Linked DNA regions of Mus musculus. The protein of the gene in region 2 binds, or shares a complex with, the protein of the main gene of each other region. Links are inferred from orthologs where the notes say so. Each region holds a gene or a part of one and is shown on either strand. Other genes may lie near its edges.

Region 1 (7,383 bases), on a different chromosome or scaffold from region 2:
ACCAACAATGCCCATTCTTATGTACAATGAGGCTCATATATGATGCATCTAGTAAGTAAAGACAGCAAGAAAAAGAAAAATAATGCCTTACCATTTTAGGGTAGGGTTCACTCGTGTCACCCTAGGAAGAAGAGAAAGCTTTAAGACCAGGTAGTTTAAGACCCCCACATTGAGATCAAACTTGCAAGTTGTTCTGCCCTCCCCGACACACCTACATACAAAAATTTATGTACATATGAAAAACTGTATCATTAGAAATACCAGGTTTAACATGCACAAAGCCAAGAAACCAACGATGCCAGATAGTGAGTTTCTATAGCACTGTCTTTTGAACACCCAACAGGAAAGAACTGCTGAGTGCAGATACCATGCAGTGCAAAATCCTAAGCCCTTTACTGGGTAGACTTTCAGCTATTGAGTTTATGCATGAGAGTTCCATCTCAGCTAAAATTCCCCCAATGGGAAAATTGCTCAAAAAGGATTAATGTTCTTTTGGGTACATGTACATACACACACACTGATAATAGATTACCTTCCCTGAGCACTCCAAATACTATTCACTGAAGGCTTCTCACTAAAATCAGAGCTTCCAGATTTAGCCATCATACGTGCCTGGCTGCTAGGGTTTTGAACTTATATTTACTGTGCCAGCTACCCAGCCAAGAATTTGATCTTGAGACAAAGTTTCCATTTCTCAGATTGTACTTGAAACTTCTCACCTCAGACTCTCAACTCATAGAATTTTAGGTGTGGGACTAGTACATGGTGTATCTTTTTATCCCTACTGAATGAACATTTCTAGTTATTCTGATTTGGCATTTGAGTGATGTACTTGTACTAGCCTAGCAAAGTGAGGACGACTTTCTAGGTTGTACACATAGCAAATGTTTTTCTGAGAACTTACATGCGACCTGGAGATCTACAATTCTTTATACAAAAAACAAAACTAGTTACTTACCAAACATCTCTTTAGGGTCTTCTCATATCCATTCCTAGAGAACAACACATGACTTTTAAAAAGGCTGTCATTTCAGTTATAAAAACTGCCAAGGTTACTATGATTACCAGCTGCAGCCAGTTCTGTCAGAGTTAATGTTAGTTCATGTTTGGCTCATTCAGCAGTTGAACAGTTGAATTCATCATCTGAACTGGAACTATCTTTTCCCAAAATTAGTGTCACTAAAACTTACCTCACACTCACAACTCTAATCTTTATGAAGGAAGTGCCAGTGCCTAAAGTTAAAAACAAACAAACAAAACAAAATTAACACATCAGTTTTATACTTTGTTAGCTGTCTTGTAGTTCCTTCCCACAGACCTAACAGTCAGTCCTGTGAGTCAAGTAAAACCACAAGTTACTGTATGAGGCGTTTCCAACGACGTCTGGCTACTAGGGAAGCCCCGTCGGGATAGACCTCAAAAGCAATCATTTCAACAACTGTGAAGCTCTCCAGCCATCTTTTATATGGACATCTATGAATAGGAAATCACATTGTAATCTCAGAATTTTGCCTAGCTTAAACTCAAGGTTGCATTCTTACAGTGCTGAACTCTCAAGCTCACTTTTACTGCTTTTACTGTAGTGATTTTTTTTAACCCAGCAACATGGTTGTGCTGGCTGGAATTAGACACGCACATACCTTTAATCCTAAACAATGAAGAAAGATAAAGCACCCATGAAAGTGATGTCTAATTGAGTAGCAGACAAAGTGAAAAAGATTTAACAGAATAAGATATGCCCAAATGTCAGAAGAGAAGCAACGTAAGAGGGCAAGAGGCAATTTTTACTAGGAGAACTTTACAAAGACAGGTTAAGAGAGATCAAGCTAGACACAGGTGAATACAGAATGAGCCAAGAGTGAAGAGCCCAGATCAGAACAGATTGCAAGGTAGTTTGAGGCAGAAGTCAGAATGAATCAGTCAGCTTGAAGGAATGAGCCAGAACACCTGAGGTAAACCAGACAATATCAAGGGTGAGCTTTTTCAGCAAAGTCTCCAAGGCTGAAAACATTCTAAACCTACATCAGATTGTAAGCTTCCAAGGATAGGCCTTCTTTAGCAGATGGGCAGTAAGGCTCAGAGACAATTACATCAGGCAGATAGATAAAACTAAATAAAGTGGCAGTCTGATTCTTAGTTAACTCACTTTTCAAACACTGTATTTGTGATGTACCATGCTTGAGAAGTTTATAATATTGTAAATTGAGTATAAGACCTTAAAGCCTTATTTTTGTGTTCTTCTGCTAAACATACCTATTTCAGTTCAAATTATTGATTCTAATGTTCTAGGATTTACTGAGGGGTTGGAGCACTCTAAAACTTTCATAGAATTAGCATCACTGAAAGTTAACATAACTCCGAAGATGTAAATTTACATGCTACTTACAACACTGAAACAAACATCCATTCATGGGTATCTTCCAATTCTGACTTCATAATCAAGACAAGCCTTTAAAAAAAAAGGAATATCCATCTACTCCATTACCTTTATAAGGTAAACTATATATGATATTGCTAGAACCAAGTTCATCAATAACACCTTTGTGCTTATATTCCTTCTTGTATATATCAAAACTCATACTGAGCAATGAGTTCTGGGTTGCAAGAGGATTTATATTTTTGCACCTGTTCAACTGGCCATTGTCCAACAGCTGACAAAAACACAAGTGCTATCAAAGCTGTCCATATCTGACACAGCCAGTTTTACAATTGTGACCACAATAGGACAGTAGGAACAGTGGTAATATTCAAACCCCCCTTGGGGAAGATAAGCACTTGTTTGACTTAAGACTTGCAGACAGAACCTGGGTGTGGGTTCGAAGAGAAAGCTCAGATAATAACTTTTTTTTTATTTCTCTGAATAGTTCTGGCTGTCCTTGAACTCAGAAATCCACCTGCCTCTGACACCCAAGTGCTGGGATCAAAGGCATGCGCCACCACTGCCCATCTATGAATAGGAAAGGAAATCATATTCATAACCAACAATGGCTGGCTAATTACCATCTTGTAACTTTAGATCTCCAGGCACAGATACCTTCTGATCTTGGGTACTGCACACATATGCATGTAGGCAAAACACACAAATATGAAATAATTTGGGCTAAGCACTTAAGAGGCTGGGTTTTATCATTAGTTTATTTTTTCTAGTATAAGAGTCCAGGAGTTTAATCCAATTTTCAAATCATCTCTTCCTCCTCATAGTCATAGTGGCTGCGACAGACCACAGAGGTGGTGAACCTCCAGATACTCTAACTCTCCTTTCTTCATGACCTTGCTCTGCAGATGAGCAAAAGGGCGAGGCTGGGGTCTTGAATCTAGACATGTATAGGATTGTTAGCATTTTCCTTCCAGAATCACAATCATGTTTACTATAGTAGTAAAATAATCCTTATAGTATTTCTTACTCTGAAATCAAGCAACGAAAAAAGCTTTACTAAGTATTTATTAGCGTTCCACCAGCAAGTTTATCTTCTTCCCCAGATTAGTTCTTGATCTACTTGGCATACACTGTTATCTATGTTCTTTACCTTCTTCAATAGTCACATGTTCATTTCCTTTCAAGGTTCTTCTGTGCCCTTTCTCTCTGTGTGTGGCATCTTTGGCTTTTTTAGAAAATGTAGATTCTTTCTTAATCTTCTCTTGTTCCAAGTTTCTCTTCCTTGAGAATTCTGAACTTATTATGAAGCAACTGTCTTCCTGCATTTAATAGAAAAAAAAAAAAACAAAAAAACTAGTAACTAAACTCACTGATGGGTGAGTGCAAATATATTCCTTACTATACCAGCACTATTTTCTCATTTGACAGCACACCAGATTAGCTAAAAGTTCTTTATTATTTTATCAGAAGCTAGATCAGTGGTTAAAAATACTGGCTTTTCAGGGCTAGAAAGATGCCTCAGCAGTTAAACACCAATGGCTGTTCTTTCAGGGGTACTGCATTAAATTTCAGCAACCATATGGTAAATGTGACCTGGTGCCCTCTTCCATTAATCAGGTATACATGCTGGTAAAGCACTCACACAGTTAAGTAGAAAACAGTATAGAATAAACAGCACAAAATAAGCCACAACATTGGCTTCTTCTCTTTTTTTTTTAAAGTTTTAACAATTAACATTTACATATTAAATTGAATGTTTTTTATTTGTTTTTTTTAAAGATTTATTTATTATTATATGTAAGTACACTGTAGCTGTCTTCAGACACACCAGAAGAGGGAGTCAGATCTTGTTACGGATGGTTGTGAGCCACCATGTGGTTGCTGGGATTTGAACTCTGGACCTACGGAAGAGCAGTCGGGTGCTCTTACCCACTGAGCCATCTCACCAGCCCACTGGCTTCTTCTCTTAATTAAGACTAAGATTCAATTCCTTGCACCTACCAGTTCCAGGCACCAGGCATACACCTGGTATACTTACATGCAAACAAAACATAATACTGAGTTTAAAAAAAAAAATCTTAAGACTGGAGCCAGGCAGAGATACACATTTTGTAAGCCAATAGCAGGAGCAAAGACCATGCTGGTAGGTTAATCCACTGGTTTGAGGTCTCAAGAGGCCAGTCTAACCTCTGGCCTCAATATCCTACAAATATTCAAAGCTAGCGTTATAACTCAGCAGTATGATACCTTGGCATAAATATAAATGTGGACAAGGCTTCAGACCCCAACACTTGGGACTAAGAGGAAGAGTCACAAAAAAAAAAAAAAATCCTTGGTTATCAAATAGCCTAAATAGTAGTTCCACTCTTAAACAAAAATTCAATAGTATACAACTTGTACATTCTGTAAATGAAACAATAAAAATCAGCCACTTACAACCAACTTGATATCACATTCAGCCTGAGGATTTGTTGCTTCATCTTCAGTTCTGTAACATTAAATGGAATGTGTCACAAATCTTACCTAGTATTCTGATACCATTGAAACCTATAGTCAAAGAAAAATAATCCTCCCAAAGCTGATGTCCTGTGCACATTACCTCAGATTAAACAATCTTAAATGGACTAGAAGTTACGATTACTACTGAAGAATTTTATAGGATCTTCATTTTATAGATGGCACACCCACCCCAGCACTTGAGAGGCAGGTAAATGAGTTCAACCCTAGCCAAAGCTGTACAGTAGTGAGACTGTCTTTAAATTAGCTTAAATATGACAAACCCCATAAATTGCCCTTCAAGATCCAACTTACAATGGCTCTTCAATAGGAGAAAGTGAACCATCATCATCCATGTATTTGTGCCTCCGACTGTCAAGGTCTTCCTTTTCTAAATCTTCCCCAGCATGCATTTGCTTCAAGCATTCCTTAAGGTGGTGTTCATACTTGAGTTTTTCAATGTGGTGAAAAAATCCTCTTGCAACAGCTTGCTGCAAGTTAGAACACACAATTCCTTAAATATTAAAACATCATATACTAATTATAATCAAGTTTGAAACTGTACCAAGAGGCTAAATAAACAATGGCTTGCCGTTCATCAAAAGGACCAGATGTGAGAGCACAGAAACCACGTAAATGTTATGTGCATGATGGTTCTACTGTAATTCCAGACTTGGGTAGTAAAGACAATAAGAACAAGGTGAATAGGAAGACAACCCAAACTGGCAAGCTCTGCCATGTCTGCACGTGCATACACAAATAAATACAAAGTAGACATTAATCACTGATTACATTTTCCGACCACTTGCAACCATTCAACAGTTAATACTCAAACATTTGAGAAACCTAAGTAGTATCTGGGTACTTGGGTTTTTCTCTCTAGCCCTTGACTAGTTAACTTTTAACTGTCAATTTGGCATAGCTCTGAATTACCCTAGAAGGGATCCTCAACAGAGGATCTTTGTATGATTGCCTAGATTGTGGGTGGGTGTTACCATTCTGAGCAAGAGGTCCTAGGCTAACAATGCCCAGGACCAGCAGCTTCCTTCATGGTCCTATTCTCCAGCCCTTCCTGGGACTTCTAAAAGTGGGCCTTAAATGGTACCATACCTTCTCTCTCGCCTGTACTCAAAGGATTGACTACTGCTGAAAGCAAGCTGGGTGTGGTGTGCTTCAGAATAGTCTAGAGATAATATAAGGGACCTCAAGGGACCCAGCTGGAGTACAACTCCATAAATCTGTGTGCACACTGATAAATATGCTTGTGCACATTTCTCTAGTGATGCAAGAGATGAAAATTGGAGCACTTTATATGGATGTCACTATTGTTAAAAGTAACAATCTGTTTCAGGTGTCCCTCAAACAATTAAGAATGGCCAACAAACCATTCAATCTTACCTAATGTATTCACCTACATTTAAAAAAAAAACTCACCTCATATGTTAAAATTTTCTTCCAAGGTAAAGGTTTTCTTCCACTCTCAGATTCTAAGAATGGAAACACAGCTCCTTTGTCTTTAATTTGTTTTGCATCTATTTGCGACCTTCTAGTGATCCTCGTTCCCGATGGTTTTCCTCTTGGTCTTCCTCTTGGTCTTAATTTTGGCTCATATTTTCTCTTTTTCCTCTTTTTCCGTTTCTTTTTTTTAAATCTTTCAAAAATAGCCTTTAAAGTCAGAGGCCTTGGTTCTATAGAAGAGTCACTTGATGAATCTGTTTCAACACTTGCAGGTAAAGTAACACGTTTCACAGTAGGGTGTCTTTGCTTTTGTATAGGTGAAGGAGCACACTGAGTTTTAAATAAGCTGCCATCAGAGGAGTCATCACTAAAACAAAAATGAAACTGCATCAGTTATCATTAGCTATAATCCTCCCCGAGTTTCAAGGCCATGCTCCCAATCATGCATTCCTTCAGTTCACAGCTCCAACAGCCTTTACTGCCCTTAGAACACCAGACAAAAGCATGACAAACCTAAAAACCATGTTAAAATTTCAAAGTGCATTTCTTCAAAGATCAACCCCCTAAAATCATACCCAGCATTTTAGAATAGATTCAGTACCAGTTAACCACTAGTACTTACTATTATATCTAAAACAAGACAGTTGGTTAAAATGTTCAGTTTTAACTTTCAAAAGCACCACTTAATCACTAAAGCTTCCACTATCTACCTACTAAACAAAAATGGGCCAATAAAACCAGAACTAGCCCCCCAAATGTAGTTTTCTTGGAAAAAATAAACTATGTTCCATTCCTACATGTTCAGGTTGGTAGAATTATACAGTTTTAATCAAACTGTCAAGCTAATATAAATGCTAATTGAGGTTCTCTCTATCTATTTTAAGTACAAGCATTACAAATAACTTGCTGGAGTGCAGGGTGTGGTAACATGCCTTTAATCCCAACTCTTGAGAGGTAGATGGGCAGGATTACCTGGGTGAGGGCAGCCATGGCTCTATCTACTGAGATGTCTCAAAAATAAATTGAACATTTGGACTGAATCTCTAGTTTAC
Region 2 (7,920 bases):
TCCCCTGACTGCAGGTCTCAAGAGCATCTGCTGAGGGTGGTGGCTCTTCCTCAGGGACACTGCTGGCTTCCAGGATACTCATGCTGCTGGTTTTCCTTCTGCATCAAGGACATTCTCTCTCAGACCTTTTCCTGTCTGGATACCCCTACCCTAGTGATATCCTCCAGTCTTTATCCTCAAATTCATACCCACGGTGGTGCCTCTTCCCCTGAATATCCAACTCACCTACTCAGCGTGGTATTCAGAGTCCCCACATGAACATGGGACAAGAACCACTAAGACATACACCCAAACGAAATCCTGCTTTCTCCTCCACTGTACTGTGTGTGGATGCTGAAGACTTTCTGCCTCAGTAAAGGCTAACCATCTTCTCACAGCAGGTCAGATGCTGACAGGTCCAGACCATCTTAACTCTTCTCTCACCCAACCTACCAGGTTTGCCTTTTGCTTATATCCAGAACTTACCCCTCTCTCTCCATCACTGCTCTTCCCCATGTGCATTTTGTTCTCCTTTTTTGAGGCAAGGTGTCATTATGTAGCCTAGGTAACCCTCAAACTCATGATCCTCCTGCCTCAGCCTCCTGAGTGCTGTGATTTCAAGTATGTATGTATGTATGTATGTATGTATGTATGTATGGCATCATATCTTGTTTTACACAGAGATGGGGACTAAATGGAAGGCTTTGTGCTTGCTTGGGAAATGATCCACCAACTGAGCTACATCTACCCTCTGTAGCTCTGTTTTTACTTTGATTTTGCTAAGTTGCCCAGGCTGGCCTTGAACTTATGATCCTCCTGCCCCAACCTCCAGAGGAGCTGTGATTAAGAGCTGCAGCATTACCTTTTGTTTTAGGATAAAATGTTCTGTAGATATCTGTTAAATCCATTTGTTTCATAACTTCTGTTAGTTTCACTGTGTCCCTGTTTAGTTTCTGTTTCTATGATTTGTTCATTGATGAAAGTGGTGTGTTGAAGTCTCCCACTATTATTGTCCCCCAGAGCTCCTGTTTCTAGCTGCATATGTATCAGAAGATGGCCTAGTCAGCCACCATTGGAAAGAGAGGCCCATTGGACTTGCAAACTTTATATGCCTCAGTGCAGGGGAACGCCAGGGCCAAGAAGCAGGATGCGGAGGGGGAGGTATGGGGGCACTTTTGGGATAGCATTGGAAATGTAAATGAAGAAAATACCTAATTAAAAAAACTTTAAAAAAAAAAAAAAGACCTGCAGCACTACCATACTCTACTGTCTTGTCTCTTGCCCATTTTTAACTGTTCATTATTGATTCATATAGAATTCTGGTTCTGTAAGTCCGTTCCTGAGCAGAGGAGTGTCAACACTTTTTGTCTTTTCTTTGTCTTGCTGATGTTTCTATTATTCATTTATTTCCAGTCTCAGAGCTTGAGCTCATGGTCTTCCACATGATAGGCAAGCACACTGCCACTGAGTGACGTCACAGCCCTAAGACAATTTCTGAAGTAGCTATCAGATTATTCAGATTTTTCTATTTCTTCTTGTATATTTTTAAATAATGTTGTTTTCTTTTTTCTTTTCTGGGTTTTTTTTTTTTTTTTTTGAGACAGGGTTTCTCTGTGTAGCCTGGCTGTCCTGGAACTCACTTTGTAGACCAGGCTGACCTCGAACTCAGAAATCCGCCTGCCTCTGCCTCCCAAGTGCTGCGATTAAAGGTGTGTGCCACCACCGCCTGGCTAATGTTGTTTTCTTAAAGAAAAAAAGTAGCTTCCTTTGAAACATTCAAATGTAGGCAGACAGTGGTGGCACAAGCCTGTAATCATTTGGGAGGCAGAAGCAGGCAGATCTCTGAGTTCAGCCTGGTCTACAGGTTGAGTTCCAGTACAGCCCAGACTACACGGAGCAACCCTGTTTGGAAAGAAAATTTAAATGTACTGGCTTAGGGTTTTTCATAAAACAGATTCTCAAACAAAAAATGTGTATCTGCATTAAAGATCCTTCTTCAGTGAGACCTTTCCAGACCACCCCTCTCACTGCATTTAACATGTCTTCCTTATTCTTCCCTATTTCATTTTTATTTTATGTGTGTAAATGTTTTGCCTGCATGTATGTGTACACCATGTCTGTGCCTGGTACCCACGTCAGTAGATAATGGCACCTGATCCCCAGGAACTAGAGTACAGATAGTTGTGAGCTGCCATGTGGGTGCTGGGAATCAAACTGAAATCTTACAAGAGATGCCAGTGCTCTCTTAGCTGCTGAACCATCTCTCCAAACCCATGATTTTCTTATTTTTGTCTCTTCCTACCATAGTATTGATATTAAAGTCAATTAGCCTCACTTTATTTAGTACCTCTGTAAACTACTAAACTCCTAGCACGTAGTAGTCCCAAGGTGGGAGGAGGCAAAATAGGTTTAGCTTTCTAAATTATGACCCTTTATTTTTAGTACCTTCATTAATTTGCAAATTGCAGAGACCCCCTCTCCTCTGGGCTTGGAGATCCTTTCCCTCTAACATCTATAATATCAAGAGTTTCCTTTGTTCTCCAGAGTGCTGCAGGATCCTTGACATATCCCAGCCTACCCTGCTGGGGACCTTATCATCTGAAATCCATCTCAGCTCTTCTCTACTGCCCCTGGAAAGAATTTTTAGTATCTAAAACAAATGTCAGGCTCTGGTGGCACAGGCCTTTAATCCCAGCACTCAGGAGGCAAAGGCAAACACATGTCTCTGACTTCAAGGCCAGCCTGATCTACAAAGTGAGTTCCAACACAGACAGGACTACTCAGACAAACCCTGTCTGGAAACAAATAAGCAAAAACAATTAAATAAACAGATATAAATGTTCACAAAGGTGGAGACTTATTTTGTTCACAGGAAAATCTAAAACAACTTTAGTTTATGGAATGAAGCAGGGGATTAGTGTGTTCAACGAGGGAACAAGAGATAAATGTATTAAGAATTTATTAAACGAGACATAATTATATTCATAGGCAAACATATATTTTTTACACAGGAGGAGGTGAAGGTACAAGAAAGAAATAGAGTTATGACTAGAAATCTTGGTCTGGGGATGTTCAGTGGTGTGGAGTTCTTGGCGAGCATGCACTAGGAGGGTTTGGTTCCTAGGATCTGGGAAGTTAAAAAAAATTTCAAATAGACAACCAGTTCTAGTTCAACAACCTGTGTTCAAACACTGAGAACACATTTTGTAAAACCCAGAAGCCGGAAGTCATGGCACACGCCTTTAATCCCAGCTCTCAGGAAGCAGAGGCAGGTGGGGTTCAAGGCCAGTGTAGTCTCCTGAGCTGAGTTCCGGGAAAGCCAGAGCCACAAAAACAAAACCACAGAAAATCCTCGTAGGTCTGAGCTCTGTCACTGGGGCCTGGTCCTGGTCCTGTACTGCCTGCCAGAAACCTGGGTCTTGAGTCCCACAAGGGCAGCACAGAAGACTCCTGGAACGCAAAGGCAGAGGCTGTGTTTCCGACCGGAGCGCTCTCCCCGTCTCTCCCGGAAGCGGCGCTTGCTGTTTGGGTAACGGTGTCTGCAGCGGAGCCTCGATGGATGTGGAGGAGGTGGTAAGGACCTAGAGGAACGCGTGCAGCTCCCACTCGCGTTCCCTAACTCAATGGGCCAGGGATAGCCAGGAGGAGGAGGAGCAGCGCCCAGGGCAGGCGTCGGCTCGGGGCGGTGACCCGCATAGGGGGCGGAGCGAAGGGGCGGTGGCCACTTGGGCCCCGGAACCTGGCTGCTTGTCCGCTCTGGGAGGTTGCGGGTGGGATTGGGTGGAGTGTTTGTTCAGAGGGGCCGTGGGCCAGAAAGAGGATGAAACTGTGGGCTTGTGGGTTGGCCACCCCCGTGGCTCCTTGGAGGAGACCACCCAGCAAAGCTCCCTTTGATGCTGGTTGCGCGTGAGGAAGAGCAGGACCTGGAACTTGGGTTGCCTCCAAGTAATCCCTGTCAGCCTGTCTAGGGTACGGACACCAGACTCTTGCCGAGGACGTTCTAATGTGCTTGCTATCTTAGGGTTTCTATTGCAGCGATGAAACACCATGACCAAAAAAGCAAGCTGGGGAGAAAAGGGCTAACACTTCTATATGATTGTTCATCATCTAAAGAACAGGGCAGGAACTTGGAGGCAGGAACTGATGCAGAGGCCATGGAGGGGTGCTGCTTACTGGCTTACTCCTCATGATTTGGTCAGCTTACCAGGTTCTGTAAAACCTAGAGCTACCAGCCCAGAGGTGACACCACCCACAATGGGATGGACCCTCCCTCATCAATCACTGATTAAGAAAGTGCCTTACTGGCCTACCTGCCACCTGATGGTATGGAGGTATTTTTCTTAATTGAGCTTCCCTCATCTCAGATATCTTCAGTTTGTGTCAAGCTGACACAAAACTATCCAGCACACGTGCCCACACCTCACTGTAAGAGTGGTTAGGAAGCTGCTGCACTTTGCATGCACTGTGAACATGATGGGTGTATTCAGTAGCTGACCCATAAGTCAAACACCAAAGAATTAGGAACCAGTTCTCTGTGTGTGCACTGACAGAATAATGATAGAGGGACTCAAGGTAGACAGTAGATACTATCTGTATCCATGACAAATGTAATAATGTCTATATAATACATTGATAAACCTAAAATTATAATCCATATAGACCATAAGTGGACCATATGCTCCTTTTGCTTCCAGTAGAACCCCTAAGCACCCAGTTAAACGTTTGGTACTCATACAGTTGATACCCTTTATATGGTTGGATGAATAAATCAAAACTCGACACATCTGCCTCAGTGCCCCAAAGAAAAAGTCAACAGTGTTTTCAATCTTTGTTTGCTTTGATCATCCATACGGTGGGTCATCCTTTTCTCCCTCAGCTCTCCCAGAGAGTTTACCTATATCTTTGTTTCCAATCTAGCCCTGTCCACCTTTCTTTCTTTGTTCTCACTCTGTATATTTCAGTAGTTTTATGGAATAGTTACTGCATTTCATGCTACTAAAGAGACGAGACTCAGGCTGGCAAGATGACTCAGCCAGTAAGAGCACTGACTGCTCTTCCAAAGGTCTTGAGTTCAATTCCCAGTAACCACATTGTGGCTCACAACCATCCCTAATGAGATCTGACGCCCTCTTCTGGTGCATCTGAAGACAGCAACAGTGTACTTATTTATAATAATAAACAAATCTTAAAAAAAAGAGAGAGAGACTAAATTCTCCTTATTTATAGATACTGTCTGTGTATTTTTAGTTTGATTGTTTTTTAATTTGGGGGGATGAAATTGCCAGGAACACTGGAAGTAGAGTTCAGAACCATGGTGCAGTGTGTTGGCCCGACAATAACAGATTTCTATCTTCCACAGAAAGCGTTCAGAGACCGCTGTTCTCAGTGTGCTGCTGTCTCCTGGGGCCTTACCGATGAAGGCAAATATTACTGTACTTCCTGCCACAATGTCACAGATGTAAGTAATGTGCCATTCACGAACTTGATTATGTTCTCAAAATTGAAGTTTCCGGGTGGTATGTGGCCTGACTCCTAAACAGTGCATCGGTATCACTCACTCAATGGCTGAATTCCAAGAATAGAAACAGGCTTTAAGAGCACAGTCTTAGATTAAGAAATTTGCAAACTAGATTGGTGATGAACTTCTAAAGTTACGTTGAGTCACATTTATAAATGAATGTTTCATTTACACTATATGCATATGGAAGTTTTTTGTTGTTGTTTTTTGTTTGTTTGGTTGGTTGGTTGGTTGCTTGGTTTTGGTGTTTTTGAGACAGGTTTTCTCTATATAACAGCCTCGGTGTCCTGGAACTTGCTTTGTAGAGCAGGCCAGCCTAGAACTCACAGAGATCTGCTTACCTTTGCCTCCTGAATGCTGGGATTAAAGGCATGTGTCACCATGCCCAACATGAAGTATTTAACATTATACTTGAAGGATATTTTTATTAGTTTTTAATGTGTTGTACCAGCTTAGAGATTTGGAGGATGGAGTGTTAGAATGCAGGGGGACTGTTGGGCATATTGGAACCAGGCTTCCTTACCATGTATCTTTGTGTAGTTCCTCACAACCTACCAAGTACTTTCTCATCCAGTATGTAATTTCTGCTTCACAACAACCTGTGAGATACAACAGTATGCCCAGAGAGAGTAAGCAGGGCTCAGGAGTCATTAGTGGTTTTTGTTGTTGTTGTTGTTTTAAGACAGAGTCTGACTATGGAGACCAGACTGGGCTCCCACTTAGAGATCCAAGAGAGCTAGGATCCAAGCCACGCACCACCACACCTGACACCACCACACCTGACACAGTTGAGTTTGTGGCTAATGCCACAGGAGTACAAAGACTTGGGACAAGACTTGAATCTGAGTCTTCTAACCCCATCATGCCTGTTTCTTAAACTAAAGATTGTCACTCTGTATTGTGTAGTCATGGTGTTCGGGGCCATCTCCACCCTGAAAGTTCTAGGTCCTGGTCTGGTGAGCATACCTTTAGGCCAGTAACAGAGTGTGGACAGCCTGATGCTGGACTAGCTAAACGTGCCATGACTGTTTTTCATAGGGAAGGATTTGCTGGAAGTGCAGAGCCAAGAAGGAATAAGCACTGCTTTCAGCACTTATTCAGAAGGGCTAGCTGGGGTGGAAGAGAGACTGTGCCCCAACGTAGAGCATGATAGGGACTGACGTGCCTTCCCACCTCAGACAACTCAAAATCTGCGCAGAAGATGTAAAACAACAACAAAAGCCACCTTAAGACACATAGCTAATTTAGCAGATGACTCAGTTTCACAAAGCACTTTGCTTTTTAAAAGGTATGTATATGTATGGGTATGTGCATGTGCGTGTGAGTGTAGGCGTCTATGGAGTCCAGCAGGGGGAGCTGGGTTTGGGATGGTTGTGATGGAACCCAAAGGTCTTCTGCAAGACCTGGGCATGCTCTCGGCCCTGAGCTGTCCCTCCTGCCCCACACAGGGTGTTCCTTTGAGGTGGCTTCTTTAGTCTATAGCTCAGGTGCTTGTTTGCTTCCTCGTTAGTCAGACAGGATATTGCCCAGATATATACTTAACTAAAACACTGGGCAATGAGGGAGCAGTGATCTCCTTGATCATGGCAGTGCAGACATGTCCCATCGAGATATATAAATGCTCATGTACACAAATGCATCAGATTACACTTGAAATGTATGCAGTTTATCCTGTGCTTTGATGCTCACTGAAGCTCCAGTGGTTTAGTCAGTGTTAATTTTATAGTGTGGTTCAAATGTAAACATAGTGAAGGAGTGGGATGTCATAATGGGGGAGTCTCCATTTGCAGATGGAGTCAGGGCACTATTTTTATAGGCATTGAATAGCCGTAACTAATGACTTCTTTTATCTTTATCTTTGATGTTTCTTGGTTTGGTCTGATTAAGTCAATTACCATCATTTTTAGTTTGAAACAAATATAATATTACTACTAAGCTCTATATTTAAGAGTCTCAACCCAAGGGAGTGAGGATGTACAGTTCTTGAAGGTGTATGACATTTTTTTTTCTTTTCCTACTGTTCAGGGGCATGATCTAGTACATTCTGTGTGCTGGACAAGTGTCCTATTAACTACAGCCCTGGTCCCAATGTGTTTTTGTAAAAGGCTGTGACCCTGAGAAGCTGCCCTCCACACAATAGGCAAACCCGAGGGAAGTTATACAACTTCAATTGTTACTCTTGGCTTTACACTAACCCAGGCATGTTCAGCACACAGAATAGTGTTCAGCTGTGCTTCCTGGAGTTGTGTAGTGTGGTGCTGTTGAAGTTCAGTGGGTGAAGAATGACCAGTGAGTCAGTAGCCTGGGACAGGTGGAGGCTGCGATACAGCTCTCCTGACGGTCTGCTTCTCTCCTCTCCCCTCAGTGCACTGTGTGTGATTCTTCAAGCTCTTGGCACTGTGTACAATCCCAGCAAAGCCTTC

What was found. Proteins that work in one complex are often made in the same cells at the same time.
Region 1: Taf1b (region 2) and Taf1d share a complex: the UniProt entries of both Homo sapiens proteins name them as parts of the transcription factor SL1/TIF-IB complex. The link is inferred for Mus musculus from reciprocal best matches to the Homo sapiens genes TAF1B and TAF1D.

What each region holds. Positions count from the first base shown.
Region 1 is NC_000075.6:15,307,840-15,315,222, reverse strand, and holds the end of Taf1d (TATA box-binding protein-associated factor RNA polymerase I subunit D), read right to left. Parts: intron 6,699-7,383; coding exon 6,308-6,698; intron 5,365-6,307; coding exon 5,189-5,364; intron 4,866-5,188; coding exon 4,814-4,865; intron 3,697-4,813; coding exon 3,528-3,696; coding exon of another isoform or gene 3,511-3,527; exon of another isoform or gene 3,315-3,510; coding exon 3,202-3,314; 3' UTR 3,119-3,201; downstream 1-3,118. UniProt on the Homo sapiens protein: Component of the transcription factor SL1/TIF-IB complex, which is involved in the assembly of the PIC (preinitiation complex) during RNA polymerase I-dependent transcription.
Region 2 is NC_000078.6:24,495,098-24,503,017, forward strand, and holds the start of Taf1b (TATA box-binding protein-associated factor RNA polymerase I subunit B), read left to right. Parts: upstream 1-3,483; 5' UTR 3,484-3,534; coding exon 3,535-3,552; intron 3,553-5,338; coding exon 5,339-5,437; intron 5,438-7,920. UniProt on the Homo sapiens protein: Component of RNA polymerase I core factor complex that acts as a GTF2B/TFIIB-like factor and plays a key role in multiple steps during transcription initiation such as pre-initiation complex (PIC) assembly and postpolymerase recruitment events in polymerase I (Pol I) transcription.